Linked DNA regions of Drosophila melanogaster. The protein of the gene in region 3 interacts with the protein of the main gene of each other region in a pairwise test. Each region holds a gene or a part of one and is shown on either strand. Other genes may lie near its edges.

What was found.
Region 1: the proteins of CG4360 (region 3) and sv interact in a two-hybrid assay, tested with the Drosophila melanogaster proteins (one large-scale study listed by BioGRID).
Region 2: the proteins of CG4360 (region 3) and CG10321 interact in a two-hybrid assay, tested with the Drosophila melanogaster proteins (one large-scale study listed by BioGRID).
Region 4: the proteins of CG4360 (region 3) and CG31365 interact in a two-hybrid assay, tested with the Drosophila melanogaster proteins (one large-scale study listed by BioGRID).

What each region holds. Positions count from the first base shown.
Region 1 is NC_004353.4:1,087,022-1,091,831, reverse strand, and holds the start of sv (shaven), read right to left. Parts: upstream 3,035-4,810; 5' UTR 2,770-3,034; intron 1-2,769.
Region 2 is NT_033778.4:21,632,765-21,638,925, reverse strand, and holds CG10321 (uncharacterized protein), read right to left. Parts: upstream 4,248-6,161; 5' UTR 3,945-4,247; intron 3,546-3,944; 5' UTR 3,523-3,545; coding exon 1,015-3,522; coding exon of another isoform or gene 955-1,014; 3' UTR 527-954; downstream 1-526. Other genes in the region: CG15674 (uncharacterized protein), read right to left, coding at 4,756-5,559, 5,617-5,961.
Region 3 is NT_033777.3:20,323,743-20,329,887, reverse strand, and holds CG4360 (uncharacterized protein), read left to right. Parts: upstream 1-1,884; 5' UTR 1,885-2,351; coding exon 2,352-3,015; intron 3,016-3,089; coding exon 3,090-3,572; intron 3,573-3,627; exon of another isoform or gene 3,628-3,659; coding exon of another isoform or gene 3,660-3,670; exon of another isoform or gene 3,671-3,735; coding exon 3,736-4,259; 3' UTR 4,260-5,614; downstream 5,615-6,145. Other genes in the region: Sirt2 (sirtuin 2), read right to left, coding at 1-859, 915-1,011, 1,068-1,159, 1,215-1,299.
Region 4 is NT_033777.3:23,123,441-23,128,381, forward strand, and holds CG31365 (uncharacterized protein), read right to left. Parts: upstream 2,983-4,941; 5' UTR 2,903-2,982; coding exon 1,822-2,902; intron 1,756-1,821; coding exon 1,622-1,755; intron 1,562-1,621; coding exon 857-1,561; 3' UTR 522-856; downstream 1-521. Other genes in the region: CenB1A (centaurin beta 1A), read left to right, coding at 3-189; CG31457 (uncharacterized protein), read right to left, coding at 3,268-3,605, 3,665-4,340.

The DNA.
Region 1 (4,810 bases), on a different chromosome or scaffold from region 3:
TGACTACAACTAGAATCTGTAGATCGACTCGTCTAGACAGTTATGAATATATATTTTATAAGATCGAAAACACTTCTGCTTTTCAACGAATCAACACGTAATGGCTTTAATAAATGAACTAAATCAACCGAGCTATATATAAAGAAAGTTTTAAAGTGATACATTCAAATAAGAGCATTTTATGATGGAAAACGCGAAACTATGAACTAAATTAATGTATTTTTATATAAATGGTATATCCCGATTTGGCATATTTATGAATAACTAGAAATTTTAAAGTTGATTTCCTCGACTATCAAAAACTCGTTACTCAGCTAGTGTGAGTGCTGGGAAAAAAATCATACAGCGAAGGTGGCTCTAAAATTTGCTTGTTAATCTTAATCGTTTCTTTCTATTAGAGTTACCTAGATCACTGCGTTCAGACCATGGCCAGATTGTTGATCCTGATCAAGAATGTATGTATTTCATACGGTAGGAAACGATCCGTTCTGCCTGTTACATACTTTTCAACTAATTTTACTCTACGAGTAACAGACCAAATTATGATATTTTTATACCCGTTACTCGTAGAGTGAAAGGGTATACAAGATTTTGTGAAAAGTGTGTAACAGACAGAAGGAAGCGTCTCCGACTATATATAGTGTATATATTCTTGATCAGGATCAATAGCCGAGCCGATCTGGCCTTGCCAGTCTGTCCCTATGAACGTCGAGATCTCAGGAACTATAAAAGCTAGAAGGTTGAGATTCAGCATACAGATTCTAGAGACATACCCCCCTGTTGCCACGCCCACAAACAAAATTGCCTCGATTACATTTTTGAAGAATTTTTGGATATTTTTTCATAATTTTATTAATTTTATTATAACAAAGAGCTTAGACTTATAAGCATTTTTTTAATTTTTAGTAATTTTATTCCACAATATTTATCGCTTAGCCAAAATTTATGAAATTTTCTCTTTGGCATTTCCACTAGCTGCGTAACGGGTATCTAATAGTCGGCCAACTTGACTATAGCAATCTTTCTTGTGATTCGTACCTTTCAATGGCACACATATATTTCACTATTTCACTATCCGCTCTTGTTATCCAGGGCAAGGTGCACTTTCTTCCCGCCGAATGAAGCCTTAACCCGCGCAAACGTGGTTGCTAGCACTTATTCACCTGTTGTTAATTGACCTTTTTGGGACTGACACTCCCCTAAGGGTCAATATAGCTAAATGATCGAGTCAGCTACGTGTATGGGTATGGGAATAAATGTGTTCGTTTAGGCCATCTGCTTTCTTTCTACATTTATTGTTTCCTAAATAGCCTAAAATGAAAGAGCGCTAAAGTCGAGTTCCCCGACTATCAGATACCTATTAATCAGCTAGTAGCAGCAATGTTTAATAACATTGGAGCCATTTTTTTATGAGAACATTTTGGGGTTCGTCGATAAAAATTAGAATGACAAAAAAATAAAATCAATAAAAAATCAAAATACATATAGTGCCTGCGTGGCACAGGTATGAAACAAGCTTGCACCGCTTTTATAATTCACGAGGAAAATTAATTTAAAAAACAAGAGAGAATCCTACAGTCGACTTCCGCGACTATCAGATACCCGTTACTCAGCTAACGCATTTCTTATTTTTTTAATGATAAAAATGAGAAAAAATTTAAAATTTGGTCAAAAATGTGGTCGTAGCAGTCTTGGGCGGCTTGTAGGCGTAACAGCGGGCGTTGCAAAAAGAAAATGTAGATATAAATTTACAAAAACTAAAGAAAATATGAAAAAATATCATTTTGCAAATATGTGGGCGTGGCAGTTCTAAACGGTTTGTACGCGTAAGAGTGGGCATGGCAAATCGATAGAAATTTAGGAAACAAATATGAACAAATTTCAAAATATATTTCAATGGCGTGGCAGTTTTGGGCGTAACAGTTGGCGTGGCAATACCTTGTGCTGCGTGTATGTCTCTAGAATCTGTATGCTTAATCTCAACCTTCTAGCTTTTGTAGTTCCTGAGATCTCGACGTTCATACGGACGGACAGACTGTCAGACGGACACACGGACATACGGACAAGGTCAGATCGATTCGGCTATTGATTCTGATCAAGAATATATATACTTTATATGGTCGGAAACACTTCCATCTACCTTTCAACTTTTCAACGAATCTGGTGTACCCTTTTACTCTATTAGTAACAGGTAGTAGTTAGTTAGTACAAGTTTAGTAGTACAAGTTTTGTAGTTTTGTTGTTGTGTTCGAATTCGAATAAAGGGCTCGAATTCGATATACACATTTTCTTGTTGATAATAATAATAATAAATAAAAAATTAATTAATTTTAAATTTTTTTTATAAATTAATTTTAAATGAATTTGGAAGTATATAGTTAAAAGTCACGGTCGGGCACAGCGGTCCTGTTACGAGGTCATTGGAGCTTCTACAATTTGTTATTTTCATTACCAACTGGTATTCAGGCAGAATAAAACCCATACTTCATTCAATTCAACAAAATTAAAAGTGGGAAAAATAATTGTATTTTCACACACTCCAGCCGAATAATAGCTATGGGGAGCCAGAATTTTTAGTTAAGACAGTCGAGGAAAACAAAGAAAACAAGTATTCCAAGGTCAGGAGCGTGGGTAAATATAAGCTGTTCAAATTCGGAGTATATTTAAAGCCGAGCTCAAGCGCCTTAAGTGTTTAATGTTATATAACTTGGATGATTAAGGAATTATTTTTACCTTAATATATTTAAAACTATGCATTAGTTTACTCACTGAATATTTTCGTTTTATAAAGATTGGTTAACATATAATTGTTTTAAAGAATTTCAATAAATTATTAGTTATTTAGCGTCACTCAGTTAAGGTAGTGAAAACGTTCAAATACGAATTTATACACTAACAACATCACTGAGTCAAGGAATCTAAGCCTTGAAAGGTAAAAAAGACAGCGCGAACCACCTGTTGGCTAAAAATCCACGAAGCAACACGATTTCCAGGTGGATCTTGAAGCGTACGCCAAGAGATCTCGAGCGAAACTAAATTGTTGAATGGCAATGGACGACGGAAGCAGTTTACATCGCTCAAACTCAGCCGACCACTTTTTTGAGTGTGTTTATGATGGCTTATATGTTTGAGTCGCTCTCAAAACTTGGCCCAAGGCGGCTTTACGGTTGGTCGGCTACATTCGCACTCAACTGGCGGTCGACTAATCGGGAGACATAGCGTGTTGTTCGGATGCAAAAGCTGGGTTTGAAATACGATCGCCGCTTCAAACAGAACGAGTGATAGAGAAAAGGAAAGAGAACAAATTAGTTAAAGTCACTGAATGAGAAGGGATGAGATGGTATTCTTGTTTTCCCCTGTTTGGTCTTAATGATCAGAGTGTTGGAGTGCTTATACCCGTTACTCGTATAGGAAATGGGTATTCTAAATTCGTTGTAAGGAAGAAGAAAGCGCTTCGAAGCGTTTGGTATATCCCTGATTATGATCGTTCTTTTTTATATCTGTCAAACCTCAATCTCATAACCCTACAGTCCTGACTGCTTAAAGTTTCCTAAGGTCCAGCTGACCCATATTTGTCTAATTGTTTTCCACTAAAGGCCTATATTTATTGGTTCCGGTTTAATATTCCTATTATTAGATACATATAAAGGTGTTATCTTTTGGCATTTAACAACAGGCTCTCGAAAAGTGAACGCAAGACTATGTATTAAATTTGAAGTAACTACATTTTGTTGAACGGAAGCTAAGTCAGTTTATATACATAAGTAATCAACCCCCTTTTAACCGTCTGGATCGCGTATTGTTACATTGAGTGACCTGCATTCTACAGGTTGACAAGCGAACAAATATTTATACATACATATTTGAAAATGTGTAATATACGTTTGTAAATAAATCGTTTAATATACATAGGTGTACTAGGAGTACAGTCGGCACTACCTTATGATATACACATACATATATTGTTTCTATGCTTCCATGCATACAAAAATAATCCACATTTTCGTCAGAGTAGTGAAACCAAGAAAAAGTTAAATTGGCATCCCTGAACGACGATCTAAAGCAGGCTGCTGGTACTCAAACTATTAAAGAGAAGACGGCGCGTGCCAAGCAATCTTCGACTACCGTTGCAAACTACACGAAAGGGAGAAGAGAGATTACTCAACCGTTTCAAAATTTAGAGCTGACTGGTGTTACTATCGTATAAAAAAAACAAATACAAATACAAAGTTTTTTTTCATTTATGAAATCTATTAGTTTATAAACATACTTAGTCAATATTACTAGCCACTTGTCCTCTTTAAAGGGGACTGAAAAGACATCAGAATAAGATTTAACTTTTATCATTTATGTCAAAATATTGTTAAATATATTGAAAAATCAAAGAGTGACGTTGCCGTGCGTCTTTGTCTCTGGAAGCAACAAGCGGACAGGGTCAGATCGACTCGGCTATTGATCCTGATCAAGATATATATACTTTACATGGTCGAAAACGCTTTCTTCTAACTGTTACATACTTATCAACGAATCTATCTTTTATTCTACGAGTAACGGGTATAATAATATGTTACAGAATTATGTAGTGTACACAACAGAATATTCAGGTGTTCATTTACCGTCATCCCTTGAATTCTTTTGCGATCGAAGGAAATGTCTTGGACGGTTGCCCGCGCTTTATTTGTGAAACACCTGTTAGACCGAACCGGAAAAAACCTACCCTTCGATCGCGCCTCTGTTAATTTTCCTTTCTGCTTATATATACTCCTTACGTGGTTAATTCGTGCATTAGTACCAAAACTGGTGTTAAGTC
Region 2 (6,161 bases), on a different chromosome or scaffold from region 3:
ACCTTTATCTTATCTTGCGAAACGCGGCTGACCGCCATATATAATCTGAACAAAACAAATAAACGCCTGGCGATTTTAGCTGTCACAATGTTATTCCAATTGATTATTTTCGCGGCTTATTTGCTAATTAATTAACAATTTCTTGTGACAGCCGGAGATTTCAGACTGCGATCAGATAACCGATTATTGGGGGGTCACTTTTTATGGATAATATAATATATATGTATGTACATGTACCTAAATCACACTAATAGGCATTTACAGATTTACATAAGCATCCATACGCGAATCGTAGTTATCCAGATACTTCCCATAACCGGATGAACGCGACACGTGGCAATTGGGAATCAATAGACAAGACCTTGGCTTGATTGTTGTTTTCTTTCGATCAATTTTGTTTGGGTTCTGTTTTTTCCCGGTCTTCTGTCAATGCAATTGAACAACAAGCCAACAAAGCCAGCGAATTGGATTACACGCTTAAAAATAAATATTACCGGCCAGATGGGACGTACAAGAAAGACAAATTATGGTTTCATAGAAGGTTTGTTAATTTATTTTGTTGTTCAGTTAAAACAAATTCACTTATTTCAAAGCCCAACAATGAAAACCCAACGCCAAAATACGTTTAGCCTAAAATGCCAGTCTGTATTCCCCGGGAAAACAAAATAATAATAGTAGGGTAATAAAATTAAAAACAAAAACTGGCACAGTCCACGCAGGATTTATGCCCCAAGCGTTTGGATGTGAGGATCCGCCTCGATCTGCCTACCTAAAGTTTCGTATCTGCTTACAAAATTCGAGTGAATCGCTTAGGTCCTACTAAACAAGTTCTACGACAGAAATCTAGGATTGCAATATTTGTGTAGTTGTGCTTATTCCTAAATTGTTATCTAGACGGGGGTAGTACAAAAATATATATATATATATGTATATATATTACATCTAAGTGGTCATCTAAATGCCGAGCAGGCACTCGCCGTTTCCAGGAGCGCCCGCTGCGGCAAACTCCGCTGGCTACGCCTGCGTCACGAAGTACACCTCGCCGGATGAGCCCATGACCACGGCGTGGGTATCGCCCGTGCCGCCGGCCAAAGTCGTACCCTGGCCGGTTGCCATCATGTTCGACATGTCGGTGGTGCCGTTGCTGACGATGCTTACCGCCCCGCTGAAAGCATCGTCCTGGCCACTGATCTGCACCTCTGCACTGTGATCCGTGCTCTCCACATGCAGCTGCAGTGAGTCCACGTTGTCGTACAAAGATCCGCACTCGCCGCACTTGAACAGCGGATCCACAACCTCCGGATGCTTGCGTTCTACGTGCCACTTGAGGTTCACCGCGGACGAGAAGTTCTTTCGGCAGTTGGCCACGCCGCAGCAATACGCTCTCTGCTGGTGCGTCTGTCTGTGCCTGTACAAGATCGCCTTGGACTTGAAGGTTCGATTGCAAATGGTGCACATCGGTGTGCTGGATTCAGCGTCGTGCGTCTTCATGTGCATCCGCAGCATTCCTGGGCCCTTAAAGCTCTTTAGGCAGATCTGGCACTGCGGCTGTTTCTTGCAATTGGCCCGTATCCAGTTGGTGTGGGAGTGCATGTGGTTCTGCAGGCCCTTGAACTGCCGGAACTCGGTGCTGCACAGGTGACAAATGTATCTCCCAGATCCCAGAGGCGAGGTGTGCTGTCGTATGAACTCAGTTACCAGATTAGCATCTATTTCGTAGTTGTCGTCCGCACCGGCGGCTGCAATCACGCTGGCCGTCTGCACCAACTGGCGAGAGTTGGCTGCGGCCAGCTTGCTGCTGGTCGTTGATCCAGCGGCAGGTGGTTGGTGGTCGCAGGGTTCCAGAGTCACACCGGCTGGAATTTGGTGGTTACTTCGCTTGGCTCGCTTTGGCGTCGGACTGGCCGAGCTGACGGTCATAGTGGGACCCACCAGGGCTTCCGTTGTAGTTGTGGCCTGGCTGAACTCTACAACAGCGTTCTCCAGTGATATGCTCTGCATCTCTTCTTGGTGCTGCTGATGATGCGACTGCTCAGAATCCATGAATGCCTGGTCAATGTCCACACTTGTCTCGCCATCCGGCGGCTCCATAATGGAATACTCCAGATCGTCGTCTACGTCGCCGGACAAATGCGGATCCTGTTCCTCACCGATGTACTCACAATCCTGGTCGATTTCCTCCCCATCCGGATCATCGAGCATCTCGTCATCCTCCAGCTGAATCTCCTCGATTATGAACGTATCCTGGTCCTCTTCGGGCTTCATTTGCTCCTCCTCGTCTTCTATCTCGTCCATTGCTTGCTGTTGGTCCAAATCGTCGAAGTACTCATGGTCTTGGCTTTCACTCTGCGTGAGATCCTCGTTGATCATTACTTGGTGGTGCTCGTGGTGGTCCTTTAGGAAGTCCTGCTGCTGATCGTCGTCCAGTACAATAGTCTCAAAGCTGTGATCTGCCTTGCTATCCAGTTGCTCGTACACATCTTCCAGTTCCTCGTCTTCCACCTCACAGCCGTCCTCCAGCAACTGCACGTCGGCATCACCGAGAGAAGCGCCTACATGCTGACCCATATCCGTGGCGTTGGTAGTTGTGGTCACTGTCGTGACTCCGGTCGGAGCCAAACTGCGTTGCGGCACAAGTTGAACCAGCTGCAGGGTCTGCGTGCCATTGGGCTGCTGAACAATCTGCAACGTCTGTCCGTTCGGCGTCTGTAGAAGCTGTGGCAGGAATTGCGATTGCGCAGCGGTGGCCTGACCATTAGTCGTTGACTGCGGCGCTGTGCTGATGATCTGCGCCAACTGCGGCGCTACAATCTGAGCAGTCGTTATCAATTGGCCGTTGGGCAACAGGATCTGCTGCGGCATAGTCGTGGTGGCACCGGCAGCGGACAGTAGCTGGGCGGGAGCAGGCTGAAGTGTGGGCATATGAATCTGCTGGATCTGCTGCTGCATAGTGGGCTGTTGCGGCGCATGTTCCTGCATTAATTGCATCTGTGGCTGAGGGGCGGGCTGCGGGACTGACTGTGGTGCTGGTGCGGCCTCCAAATGCCTCTGCTTCTGCTGGCGGGAGCCCTTGCGGAGCAGCGGCTTCAGTTTTGGTTTGGCAGGAGGCTGATGCTGTTGCTGCTGGACTATCTGCTGCTGGAGTTGCTCCTCGAGGATTTTCTGTTGCTTCTGCAGCTGTCGCTGTTGCTTCCGCTCCAGCTGAAGCTGCTGCTTAGCGTTTGCCGCCTCCTGCTGCTGCTGCTCCTCCATTACCAGTGCCACGGTAAGACCGCGGATATACTCGCGCAGCTCCTTGTCGCTGCGCTCGACGAGCGTCTTGAAGGCGTGATTCCGGCTTACGGCGTGGACGCACTGCACGCAGATCTTGTCCGGCCAGCCCTCCGTGGGCTCCACCCGCACGCTGGTACAGTCCATCAGCATTTCGGGCACCTTTTCGCTGAACAGCGGGCGCATCTCCTTGCGCTCCGAGATGCACAGGCGGCAGATCTTGTCAAGCTCCAGGACCTTCTTGCGATCCATCACTTCGTGTTCCTAGGGGGAGGCTGCAATGGGCCAGTTTTTTTTAATTTAAAATAACCATTAGAATGAGCGGATCCCCGAAAGGTGCATGAGTACGAGGTTTGTTATGATTTGCCCGCCAAAAAATGGTCAATTAAAATTCAGAATAATTTCATCTGTTGTAAAATGACCTGCTAACCCGCTGTTAATAACAGGGACTGTCGACACGTCTGGTAGCTCTTGTGCCAGACAGAGACAGCCATATTGTTATACACAATTTACCATCTTGGTGTTGGTGTGAGCGAAAAATGCGATTTTTAGGCCCAAAAAACGAAACAAATACATAATTCCCGACTTGAATTGGGTAAATATTGTTTTCGATTCACTTGCACCCGCACTTAGAGCACCTTTCGACCGGGTTCCCGCAACAAAAATGAACTCACCTGCGCTGTATTTATGTAATTTTCGCAGCTCGCCCCACATTCAACACAAAAAACTCTTTAAATATGGCCGCGTCACACAAATCGCATTCGGAACTCACATATTTGTGGTTCAGGGCGAAACACACACGTTCCCAGAGATGCGAACTTCAAAACCAAAACAAGTGCACACCAGTGGGTCTTTCGGGACCCTGATCGAATGAAATCACTAGCTATCTCTGGCGACGTTATCAATAAGGTTCTTCCATGAGATGAATGAATTGATGAACTGAACTTCTGCCTCTATCTGTCTTTCTCTGTGTGCGAGTGTGAGTGAGATGATAGGCGTGTTGTGAATGGCGCTGCCAACGTGGTATAAAGACAGAAATCCCTAACGCATGCCGGTCGGAAATCATTTTGTTTATTTCCTCAGATTTCTAGATTTCTTTTTAATACTTAAAACTTCTTATGTTTAAGGCATGAAATTCCATTGAAACTTACCTTTTCTCTATTTACAACTTAGGTTTTTGATGTGGGTCCTTCAGCTCACAAGTCTCTTTAATTTCTCGATTTTAGAGCCATTCCTTGCCGTTCATACCAGGGGATTTCTTTACATATTCAATGAAACACACAACAGTTTTTTGACTCACATTAACATTTTCAAGCCGAAATTTTTAATAAATCTAACCCAAAAAACGAACACACAAATTTTAATTCGAGGACATAGCAATTGAGCTGCCAACTCGTTTTTTAAACTGACATTTCGAACTGAAAACACCTGTTGATCCTGGTGTTATTTTCTGATTTAGAAAACTTAACTTAATGTCCATAATTTTTAGGCGGGTGGAGGCACATTCGTGTTGGCCACTTCGTACATGTGGCGCTTCTTGGTTCTCCTGTTGTGAGCGCTTACTACAATGTATATGCCCAGGATAATAGCGAGGGCCAAAAGCAGACAAGTAATCACAAACCAGCAGTAGAATCCTGGACCTTCCTCATCGTAATCCTCTTCCTGTGCGTTCTCCCACTCGGTATAGTTGCCCGATGGATCCTCCCTTATCTGGCCAACCTTCGGCTCTCGGAAAAGCGAGGCCTTGGCCAGGTTGCTAGACTCCGGAGCCATGAAAACCGGCTCCGTATAATCTATTCGGATGAAGGTGAGCCGGGCCCCGGTCAGAGTTTCCTTATAGCGTCTCAGCCCATGGCCATAGTACTCGTATATGTCGGCGTCGAACTCCCGATGCTGGTCTACCCATTGACCAATCACCTGCACCTTCACCTCGCTCCTGGGGTCCATGCTTCGTCCGAAATAGGCTTTTTCCGCAACATCCAGGCCACCCATACCATACAAGTCCAACTCGAGAACAGAGGACCGGTGCTCGAAGAGCAGAGGCAGCCTGGATAGCTTCCTATGCTGGTACACACTGGACATGTTCACAAGGATCTTCTCCACAAAATCGTAGTTCAGGCTACCGTAAATGGGCTTACGTTCGCCACTGGGATTTCGGAGCACACTGTCACCCAGGTGCATCTTGTAGCTGTTAGTCACATTGCGCCACGGCAGGTAAGTAATGTTCCTCAGCTGGTATGCCAAAGGTTCCAGTTCCACCAGTACGTTAATGTTATCCTCAAGACCATACTATAAAGATAACATATTTGTAGGACATCAACCGAACCATCTTCCCGAGGAACTTACAAAGTTATCGCCAAAAATCATGACCACACAGGTGAACAGATTGTCGGACACCGCATTGACAAGATCCGTGTGTCGGAAGTGACAGAGCTCTGTCTTCTCCCGCTCCACGTTCGTGGCCTTGGCAATGTATGTCAGTCGCTCCTTGGGATTCAGCTCGGCCGCATAGTTCTTGAGCACGGTGTGGTAGGGAATCCAGGCCAGGACCGAATCACCTCCGTTGGCGCACACCTCCGTCTGAACTCCCCTTCCAGTCAGTTCTCCGTTGCGCAGCCTAAAAAAGTGATGGTTATCTCGCCTGATTGTGGTGGAGCCATGATCTGCGCACAGGGTGTCCACGAGGTTTGCCTGGAAAATGAAGAGATAAAAGTAAAAGACTGAAACAAACACCTTGTTCGTATATAACCACCGTCTTCGGCTTATCTCAGGTCCGCCGGCATTATCTTCTTCAGCTGCGATGGACACTTTGTCACTTTATCGTCAAGCTAATTCAATTTGGAATATCAGCCACTCGAATAATTTATTGGCTGGCATTGGATTTGTCACTT
Region 3 (6,145 bases):
TCGCCCGAAGTCATCTTATCCGGGTCCGATTGCGGTTTCTCTTTGCCTTGTTGCAGCTCCTCACTATTCTGGCTGCCGCTCAGTTTCTTCCTTTCACTTGTAATTAGCTGCTGCAGCTCTTGGTCCCAGCCCAAGGCTTTGGCCAGAGCCATTACGCCAGCATCACAGTCGCCCAGAAAGGCCACATCCCTAGTGTTATTGGGCTTATCGAAGAGTAGCGATCGCGTGTTGGGATCCATAAAGAGCACACAGCTGGCCTGACCCACTGCATCGCGATTGATCAAGAGGCGAATGCAACGTGGTCCTGGTCTCCACACCAGTGAAGCAAACGGTTGCACTTCCAACGATGTGCCCATGATGATCAGCAGATCGCAATCCTGGAAATCCTCTTCAGGACTGGAGTAAAATCTCTTTGGCAAGTTTTCGCCAAAGAAAACAATGTCTGGTTTAACAACGCCTTGGCACTTTTGGCATTTGGGCAGACGATCGGCGAAGATCTCCGCCTTCATCCAGTCCATGTCGTACTCCTTGCGGCACTTAATGCAGTGGTTGGTGTGGAAGCTGCCATGGGCCTCAATGATCTTGTCCTCGGGCAGGCCAGTAAGCCGGTCTAGCGTGTCTATGTTCTGGGTGTAGTGGCGCTGCAGTAGTCCCTTGTCGTTAAGCAAACGGATAAAGTAGTGGGCCGGCGTGGGAATGAAGGATCCAGGGTAAAGTTCCTTGGCCAGTGCAAAAAACGGCGCTGGATTCTTTTCGAAGTAGTCCAGATCGAATATGGCCGTAGGATGTGGCAGCTCGTACTTCTTCAGATTGCTGTATAACCCGGAACCTGGGGATCTGAAATCCGGAATGCCAGCAGCTAGGAATGGCGATAACTTAGTAAGTTTTTACAATGGTATATAGAATGTACCAACATGTAGATATGCCGGCTCCCACCATGGTCACAATCTTGCGGAAACCATGCACACGCCAATGTTCGGCAAAGCCGTCAAAACTCAAATCTGGAATAACCTGCAAATTTGCGATTTAATCAATATGATAATCAAATTATCGGGTGCTCCGCTCACCTTCTCTACTTTAACTTCCTCCTTTGCGTCCGAGGAGCCGCCGAGATGTAGAGTGTTTGCAAAGAAGCGTCGAACCTTATCCATTGTGTCGTCTAGAATTCAATTCAATTAATGAGTGACAGTAAAGACCTAACTATTTAGACTAGCCTGGGGCCTCCTCGTCGTCGTCACTGGACGAGGAATTGGAGGGCGTCGTCGGTTGTTCCTCCTTCTTTACTTCGATGTCGCCCATGGTAAACAGATTCACCTTCCGGTGAAAGTATGTAAATCTGAGGATAGTGTGATGAATTCTCCCAATTGTTTATGTTGCGTTTTGTTTTAACGTAAAAAGCAAAACAAGTTCTGACAACTATCGATAGGTTTAGGCTAACGAATAAGTTATCTCTAACAGCTATTAAAAAGCTAGAATTTTAATTTCATTGCTTATTGATTTAGATTTTAAAATCAAATTTGTGCGAGCAAACCAAAATATTATAATTACTTTAAGTAGCCTATCAATGAAAGATTTTTATTTAACAGCGATTTATTAAGGGTCGCAAATAAATATGTGTTTGTAACGGTTAGAACATATTATGACTCATTAAACAAAAAGGAACCGAATAATAGAATAACTAAAGCTAAGAAGGGCGCAAAGTTACAAAATCGAGTATAGATAAAATAACAATTACACTTTGTTGATATCTGAATATAAACTAATTGAAAGGTTAAAATCAGCTGAATTGTCAGCACGGAGTGTCCAAATAATCGATAGCTGTTATCGACCCACCCAGTGTTAGGCTCTCTAGCGCCACCAGCCCTGGCCGGCCGATAGTCGATTACTCGATGTTCGGCGGGGGTGCAGCTCTGCCCGTTCGCTCAGCCCTGGAAAACCACGCCAGTCATTTTTGTTTTGATAAGGATACGGATACAAAAAGAGCGTGGCCTGGAAAAACTGCAGAAACGGCGGAGAAAGCGCCCCAAAAGCGAGCGAAAACGGTGGAAACTGATCGTGGGGAAGTGCGCGACAAAGTGGCCGCGGATTCAGGCCCTCCCAATCGCTACGTGGAAGCGTAAGCAGCGTGTTGAAGAAGAGAAGAAGAAGAAGCAGCAGCAGCGCAGCAAAAGTACACAGAAGTGCAAACCAGACGACTGAAATAACAAATCAAAAAAGGCCCCAAAAGGAGCGGCGCAGTGGAAGCAACTGCGGGGGCGGGGAATGGCCGAGGGTCGTCGGTGGCCGCCATTGTGTAACGCCGCCGATGGGCAGACTGTAGATCCACGCTAGGATCATATCTCTCGAATATCATGCATCTGAACCATGCGACAGCCGCCACGGCAGCCATGGCCAACTATCAGCACTACCAACTGCCAGCCTCCCATGGCGGTGGCGGCGGAGGAGGAGGTGGCGGTGGCGGTGGAGGAGGGAGTAATGGTGGATCTGGACCGGGTCCCAACTCGGGACAGCAGCAGCCCACCACACTGGCCAGCCTGCAACAGAGTCCCTTTGCGCTGCATCAACTCACCGCCGTGCAGGCCATCCAGCACCCTACCCACCAAGCCATGCTCCATCCACAGCACCCGCTGGTCCATTTGCTGGACATATCCACTACAACAGCGAACAGTGGCGGAGGAGGCGGGGGCAGCCACACGCCCATTTCTCCTATGAAACAGGAGGTGCAGAGCGTGATTAGCGAGGAGGAGGTGGTGGTGGACGATCCGCGCAAGAAGAAACAGTGCCACGTGTGCAAGAACAAGTTCCGGCAGCTGACCACGTTACGCAACCACATGAAGATCCACACGGACGAGCGGCCCTACAAGTGCAAACACTGCGACAAGGCCTTCCGCCAGATCTCGACGCTAACCAACCACGTGAAAATCCACACCGGAGAAAAGCCGTTCACCTGCAACATCTGCGCCAAGGACTTTCGCCAGCAGAGCACCTTGATCAATCACATCAAGACGCACAAGGGTGAGTGTGTGGTCGCATCGTCCCAATAGACCTTATGACCTAACTCTATTTCTCGCTTCGCTTACGGGCAACAGCGGCGGAGTCCAGCACGCCAACTTCCCTGTTGAACTATCAGCCGCAGACGGGCAGTGGCAAACACCGAAAGTCCCAGATGCACCAGGCCTACCAGCAGCAGCATCAGCGCGTCCAAATCTCAAAGACCTTGTATTCCGGCAGCTACAGCTCGCCGGCGGCCGAGGAGCTGGTGAAGCCGTTCCAGTGTAGCGTTTGCAAGCGCCGCTTCCCGCAGCTGAGCACGCTGCACAACCACGAGCGGACCCACATCGATCCTAAGCCGTACAAGTGCGAAACGTGTGACAAGTCCTTTAGCCAGCTGGCGACGCTGGCCAACCACAAGAAGATCCACACGGGCGACAAGCCGTACACGTGTTCCTACTGCCACATGCAGTTCCGCCAGCAGAGCACCCTTACCAACCACCTCAAGACGCACACGCATCAGATAGCGCCTGGAGGCGTCGGTGGAGCAGGAGGCGGCGGAGGCGCCGTCACAGCCACAGGTGAGCCGCTTGTGTGTTCGCCCTACCAATGAGCCGCTTTCTGTTATCCATGTGTGCATTGATTATTAACGCTCTTCCCTAACGAAGCTTTTATTTAAATCTTGTACGCATGCTAACTTCAACAAATCATCCAACAATCCAACTCCGTACCGTCAATCTGCAGTGGATCACTCAATGCCCGCTCCTCTGGCGCCCGGGACGCAGCAGCTGACCAGTGGCCTGTTGCCGAACAACCTGCACGGTAGCACGGCGAACATCATCCAGCTGGACCACCATCCGCTACTGCATTTCCTCGACGGCAGCACCACGGTCAGCTCGGTAGTGGCCACGGCGGCGGCCAACACCAAGGTGGAGCATTTCCAGGCGGGCGGCTCGCCGTCGGGCCGGATGACCGTAGTGGGCACCATCAACATGCTGAAGGGCGACAATCCGGACCGGCCGTTTGGCTGCAGCGTCTGCCAGCGGTTCTTCTCACAGCAGAGCACCTTGGTAAATCACATCAAGACGCACACCGGAGAGAAGCCCTACAAGTGCAAGATCTGTGAGGTCAACTTCCGGCAGGTGGCCACGCTGAACAACCACATGAAGATCCACACCGGTGAAAAGCCCTACAACTGTTCCTTTTGTCCTAAACAGTTCCGGCAAAAAAGCACACTGCAAAACCACCTGCGGGTGCACACCTGCTAGACCCACTTCAGATCCAGATCGCAACGCGATCCAGGTCCGCAGCCAGCCAGCCAGCCAGTCAAGCAGCCATTGAGGAATAGTGCAATATGCATGCCACATAGCACATACACTTATAGATCGCATATACGGCATACGAATACGATTACATGAATACTATATTTGAATATATACTCGAAAGTGTTATTTACCTGCTGTGCAGAGCGCAATTGTATGTAACTATATCGTAGAGAGCTGATCCACATGCGTGTCCAATTGTAAATTAAGGCTAGCCGTGTTGGCATAAGCCACAGATGATATGATACAGGGTGTTTAGGCCTAAACTCTATACTATCCCATGATGGTTCGATTTGAGTCGGTGTGTTAAAGGTATCTTAAGGCACTTTAAAGCCATTTAGTCTAAAACGTTTTATTATCTTTTAATACCCATCAATTTCTCGCTTTTCAAAGCTTTGTAAATGAATCATCGGCGTCTTTTTAAGTTTGGTTGCTGTTTTCGAATGGCAAGGAAAATGACTACAATAAATTTAGATGTGACCTACTTTGCACAATAACCTTTTATGCCTGTATATGCATAATTGTTGTCTTTTATATTTCCTTTACAAGGAACATCTTACTAAAAAAAAAAATATTGATATTGTTTAAAACTGATACAATTCAAGTTATATTATTTGTTTTAAGGTAAAATGGTCAAAGAGTTATTAGGATTTCTTTAGCACCGAAGCTTCTTGAGGAATCAAATCGATCCATACTACAGCTATCCTCCTATGCAACTGTTGTCACCCATGCCCCTAGATCCCTCGATCCCTAACAATTAGTTCCGAGCATCGGCTTCATTCAGCTTTTCTCGTCGTGTTAAATGTTAAGCCCGCCAGCAAAGTAAAGTAAATTAATTAAAAGTAAAACTAGTTATTGCTATACTATGTGTAATCCCGCCCGCTCTGAACCGACATAAAGCGTCATCGCAACCGAACCGAACGGAAATCGAAAACAGCAACTATTTATATAAGTGTACTCTTAGCGCATACTTAGCAGCATCTTCTACTCAAATGACTACGCGCGGAGCAATGGCGATCGCATAAATAATCAATAATACATTTAATGAGCGAAAGAATGAAAACCGGGTTGCTTATAGAACAAAAACTTAGAAAACAGAGAGACACAAGAGTCCCTAAATTAAGTGAATCGATAAGGAGAACGAAGTAAAACGAGTAAAACCAGCTATAATTGAATTGATACAGATCGATCGTAAATGTTGTAGAGAATATATAGTATATATATAAATATATATAAACTACTTGTAAATGTAAGCGAAGCGAAGAGCAAAAACAACAATAAAACATGCAAACAGAAACTTTAACTATACTTTTTATTATATTGTTAACGATAGCAGCTATTAATTACCACTTTGCCCAGATGAAAACACGTCTGTTTTGATTTGAAATGGGGAGAGTTTATTAAATTCTAAGTATGCAGGTATTGGGAAGAGGAAAAACAATTCGTGTATAAGAGACACTAAAAGTAATTACTATAAGCACTTCTCGCATTAAATCTCTAAGGTATGTTGCACTGTGTATAAGTGGTGCTTTATGGGGCAGAGCCTCTCGAGCATTGTTCGTTCGTCGTTCATCCTAAATCGTGTCATTTAATATTAACTGTCTATCGAAGGAAAGGAAAAGCGAACTAGCTTTGTAGTAGCATCGTTTAAATTGGAATTTTTACGAAATCTGGTGCATCTACTCGTACGTATGTGTATATTTTGATATAAATGTATATCTCCGACAAACTAACCTACCCAGACGTTTTATCTTGAGAAAGGAATGCCCAAGGCTAAAAGGGAAGAGATTTGCATATGGACTTTGTCTGCGGGAGAGACTTGGATTGCTGGG
Region 4 (4,941 bases), 2.8 Mb from region 3:
AGACTCCGATTGACACAACTGAATGACGAGATTGGACCCAACGACGAGTACAATGGCGAAGATGAGACGTACAAGAACGTAATGAAGGACTTCTCCAAGTTACCAGCCAGCCAGACGCGAGTTCTGCGCCAGCGGCACGACTCAAATACACTCGAATCGCAGCGCAGCTCGCTTACAAACTCCGACTAGCAGTGGCAGAAGGGCCGCAAGAGTTAGGACCTTACTGGATATTATGGAATAATTTGTTCCAATTATTAGGATAGCGTGATATTGGATTGTTATTGGCTTTATAACGCATTAACCAGGAATGTTAAACGGTTTCGACCTCTAAGGATGTCGTTGCGGGCTTGTTTCCCTTGGTAATCTCATTTGAAAAGCGCTTCCGATTATACAAGAAAATATTATTCATTGCATTTGGCATTCGAATGGCAGGCACGATCGTTCGTTTTCTCTTAGGCGCATTTTGAATCCGTTTTTGGCGATTAGCTTAAGTTTAAAGTATTCGTAGAGCAGTTGAGTTTATTAAAAATACGTATATTTGCCTATAAAATTGTACATCGTCTTATGTGGTATTTATTAAACGATATTGTAAAATGTACGTCTAGCTATATGTATCTTGTTACAGAGCTGTTCCAAATGTTCCGATTTGTATTTGTTTGCTAAACTGTTTAATGCTGCATGTTTCTAAATGTTTTAACGCTATCATGTTGATGATTTTTGGTGCCAACTGTTGTGAGCACTCTAGGTTCGCGAATAAAGTTGTAAAATATTCAGATCAATCAAAGTTGGTCTCTTCAGGTGTAAAACATGGTGGTCCAATCTGCGGTGTATTGGTAAAACATGTCCAGGGACTATTCTAGGCCACAGCTTGAAACTCGTTCGTCTCGGATATGTAGTCTGTGAGCTTGTTCTTCACCTTGTGCATTGTGGTTACATGTCTCTGGACCGCACTGCGATCGTTAAACTGACGGCCGCACTGTTTGCAGGAGAACATGACGCCAGCGTGGGTGACCAGATGGCGACTGAGGCCCGAAACATGATTGAAGCTACGATGACACAGATGACACTTGTGCGTCCGAGAGTTGCCCATATGCACGCGGCCAATGTGCTGCTGCAGGTTGGACTTCTGGGCAAAGCAGCTCGAGCATTGGGGGCACTGATGGCGCTTTACTCCCGTATGGGTGTCCATGTGACGCTTGAGCACTTCGCGCTGGGAGAAGGACAGTTCGCACTCGCTGCACTTGAAGGGTTTCAGGCCCGTGTGGATAATCATGTGGCGTTTGAGCGAGCTGGCGCACGACAGTTGCAGTGCGCAGCTGGGACACTTGAGCGTGCCGCCCTTTCCACTTTTCAGTCCCTTAATGTGGGTGTTGTGGTGGCGCGTCAGAAGTTTCTGCGTAGGAAATGCCACCGGGCACAAATGGCACTGGAACGACTTCACCGTGTCCGTAATTCGACCGGTTTTTGGTTGAGGACAACTGGACTCCTGCTTGAACACCAACTCACTCGATCTCTTTCGTTTGAGGGGCGTCTGCTCATCTCTATCGTTCTGTTCTTTTTCCTACAGATAATAAGATCCAAGTTGAATTCGAGTTCAATTTAAAATCACACGGTTAGTTACCACTATAATGACATTTTCATGGAAGCTGAAGACCTGTTGCTCCTGAGATATCTCCTCGCCCAGATTAAACACGACCACGTCTTCGATTTCCTCTGGCTTTTCGCCACTGAACTGAATTTCGCCGTCTTCTTTGACTAAGCAAAGAATTTAATGAAATGAAAATTTTTTCACATTTTTTTTGCCAAATTATACCCACTTACTGTTATAGGAGGTGATTCCGTTGTCCTGGTCAAATTCGGGAGTGGAGTCCTGGTTTTGATCCTCTGAGCTGGCAGAGTTTATGATGTAAATCTCTCCATTGTCTGTGTGCACTACATCTGATCCAACCATGTTGATTTCCCTGAAGTCTTCACCGCTTTCCGCGGGCACTTCCTCGTCCAGTTCGAGGCCATCTATGTTTACATCGCTATTATTTGCGGGGTCGGTATTGCAGCCCAATATGAATTCCTCTTCTTTTGCATCCTTCCTGGCCTCTGTCGCCTTTAGATTGGCGTCGACCAAGCTGGGTCGTCGCTTTGGAAGAGCTTTAGTTTTTGACCTAGAAGGGGAGGCATCTTCCTTGACTTGCGGCTTGGTCTCTGGTTCGGACCCATCCAAAGACTCCCACCGACCGGCCTTTTTCTCGGTAAGATACACCTCCAATTCGCCCAACAGCATGGCCAGCTGCTCTTTTCTTATGTCCTCGCTCACCTCGTTTCGCAGGTCATCTCTAACCTGGCTGCGCACCTCCTCGGCCAGCTCCTTGCGAACCTCACTGCGCACCTCCTCCGCTAGTTCCTTGCGCAGTTCGGTGGTCAGTTTCGCTCGAAGTTCTAGACGAGATTTGACCAGCCGTTTGTGCATTTCCGCCGCCTGTTCTTCCTTAAAATCTTCTCGCCACTTTTCGTCCTCAAGCTTGCGCACTTTGTCCTGCACCTCGATGAAGGCAATAGAGTCCTCGAACTCCAGCTCGTCCTCGTCATAATCGTCCGGATCCTTGGAGAAGACGCGGCTTCGCTTCCCGAGACCCAGAAGTCGGATATGCTTGCGAAGCTTCTTCTCCGCCCATTGGCAGCGCTGCCGGAACAGGAATGACTTCTCCAGCTGATAGCGGCACTCCTGGCAGATCCTCTTCGGCAGAGTATCCGTCGCCTTGGCGTCCAGTGCGACGCAGGCCATCAGGCGCACGGGTATCGAGAGCTGGGTGTCGTCCTCGTCGAAGATCGCGTACGCATCCTGGTGCTCCTTGAGGCAAAGGCGGCACAGGGTCGCCAAATCGGGATACGACGGCTGTGCATCCATGAAGGCGTCTATTTTTGGTAAATCAACGTATTTACTCGGTGGCGTCTCTGCATCGCAAGCAATGTGACCGCAGACAGGTTCGCTAAAAATACCTCCTCTCGAAACGAAAGCAATACAGTCACACTGTTCGTAAATAAACAATTTGATATATACGGCCCATAAACGTATCATAACTTAATTTATTAATGTAAGGTTTAAAGGTATTGATTTTCATACAAATCCAATGCATACCGAATGTGCATATTTAAAGTTTAATAGAATACAATGACAATTAAAATAGGTGATGGCTTAGTCAAATATGCGTGCACAAAAAAAGGTACTATTCTTATAATATAGAGGATTAAACTAAATTCGTTGTTACGTGGCTACGTCACGGTGTTATTTAGCTTATCCGCTCCTCTTAGACGACAGCGCACACAACTTTTGAAATCGGCGTACGAACTGCTGCATTTTGTCTTGAAGGAACTGTGCTTTCGGCACAGGTTATCGGTCGTCTGCTTGGGGCTCATAAAGCGCACTTTCTTTCGACACGGCGATGGGGTTTTTACATCCTCTAAGGCAGTTGTGTTGGCACCCAGAAAGGTGTCCTTGCTATAGTCGTTGCGCAGATGACTCAGCTGCGGGTCGTTCATGTTGATCTCAACCATGGGCACAGCAACTAGTGGCGTTGCAGCTGGCTGTCTGCTGGCTTCTGGTTCATCGTCTATTACATTTGAGAAATATATAAGTCGTGCAATTGCAAAGTAAGTGGGCTGGTCTTACCCAGTAACTCCACCACGCTGTTATCGCTCTGCTCCCTTAGCTCCTGGCCCATGTCTGTTTCGTAGAAGCCAGCGGTCTGTTCGTCAGGCAGCGGACTGCTTAAGTTCATCTTCATCTCATAGGTCGCCTCATTGCGCTTGCGCACAAAGTACCGTTCCAGTTCGACAAACACGTCGTCCAGAACGCTCAGTCGCAACTGCTGCTTGGCTTCGGGTATGATGACCTCTTCGAGTTCCGCCCGCAGCTCCAGCTCGATTTCCGCCCGCACAGCTTGCTTGCAAGTGCTGAGCAGCTCCTTTTTATACGCGTCGATCTCGCTGCTAATGAGCTGGGCGGCCTGCTGGCGCCACTGGGCATTGTTCTCGGCGCAGCCAGTTTGCGTGCATCCTTCCCCGGAGCCCCGCTCCTCCTCCACTTCACTCAGCTGCGACTTGACACCCTGCCGCTGCAACGCCTTGTGGCGCCTCAATTTGCGATCGGCTGCGAGGCAGCGTCGTCGGAAGCAGTGCATCTCCTCCAGTTGCAGCCGACACATGGTGCATATGTGCTGTGGCAGACCGTCGCCGGGCTCGATCTCCAGCGATGTGCAGACCATTATCTGCAGAGCAGTCGATCCATTTGCACCGAAAACGGGGAAATTGGGTTCCTTCGACAAGCACAGGCGACAAACATTCATGTTGAATTTCAAGGCAATTCGGAGCGTGGCAGCCGGACACCTGATTAGGCACGATTCGGAATGATGGACAATCTAGCAATCTTTCCAAGCAACCAGTTTAGAATATGAAACAAAAAAACATTTGAAGACAAATAACTAAAATTGGAAGCGGAGGAATTTCCTACTAGGAAACATCAACAAGTCTAGCCGATTTGTTATCGATATTTTCAGTGTGGCCATGCGGTTGAGAGAATGCATTTTAGTATTTCAAGGCTGGCTGCTCTGCCATTGATGTGCCCGTATTTCAGCAAGGCGCTTGGCGGGAGAATTTCAAATAGTCAAAATTTTACAACGATACTATAGCGCTCATTTGAATAACCTGAAATGCAGCAATAACACACATTCATTTATCAAACAATTTCTTTATATTTCATTAAATATTAAGTATAAATACGCAGTTAACTATTAAGTATTATATACACAATTACAATAAGATATTCAGTCACTATAATGCTTCTTCTATATACAAAGTACGATATATATTATATCAAAGGGCTTGAACTCGCCGCCGCACCTCAATAAATTATGCAATTCAATTCCATGATAATATACAGTAACAGTC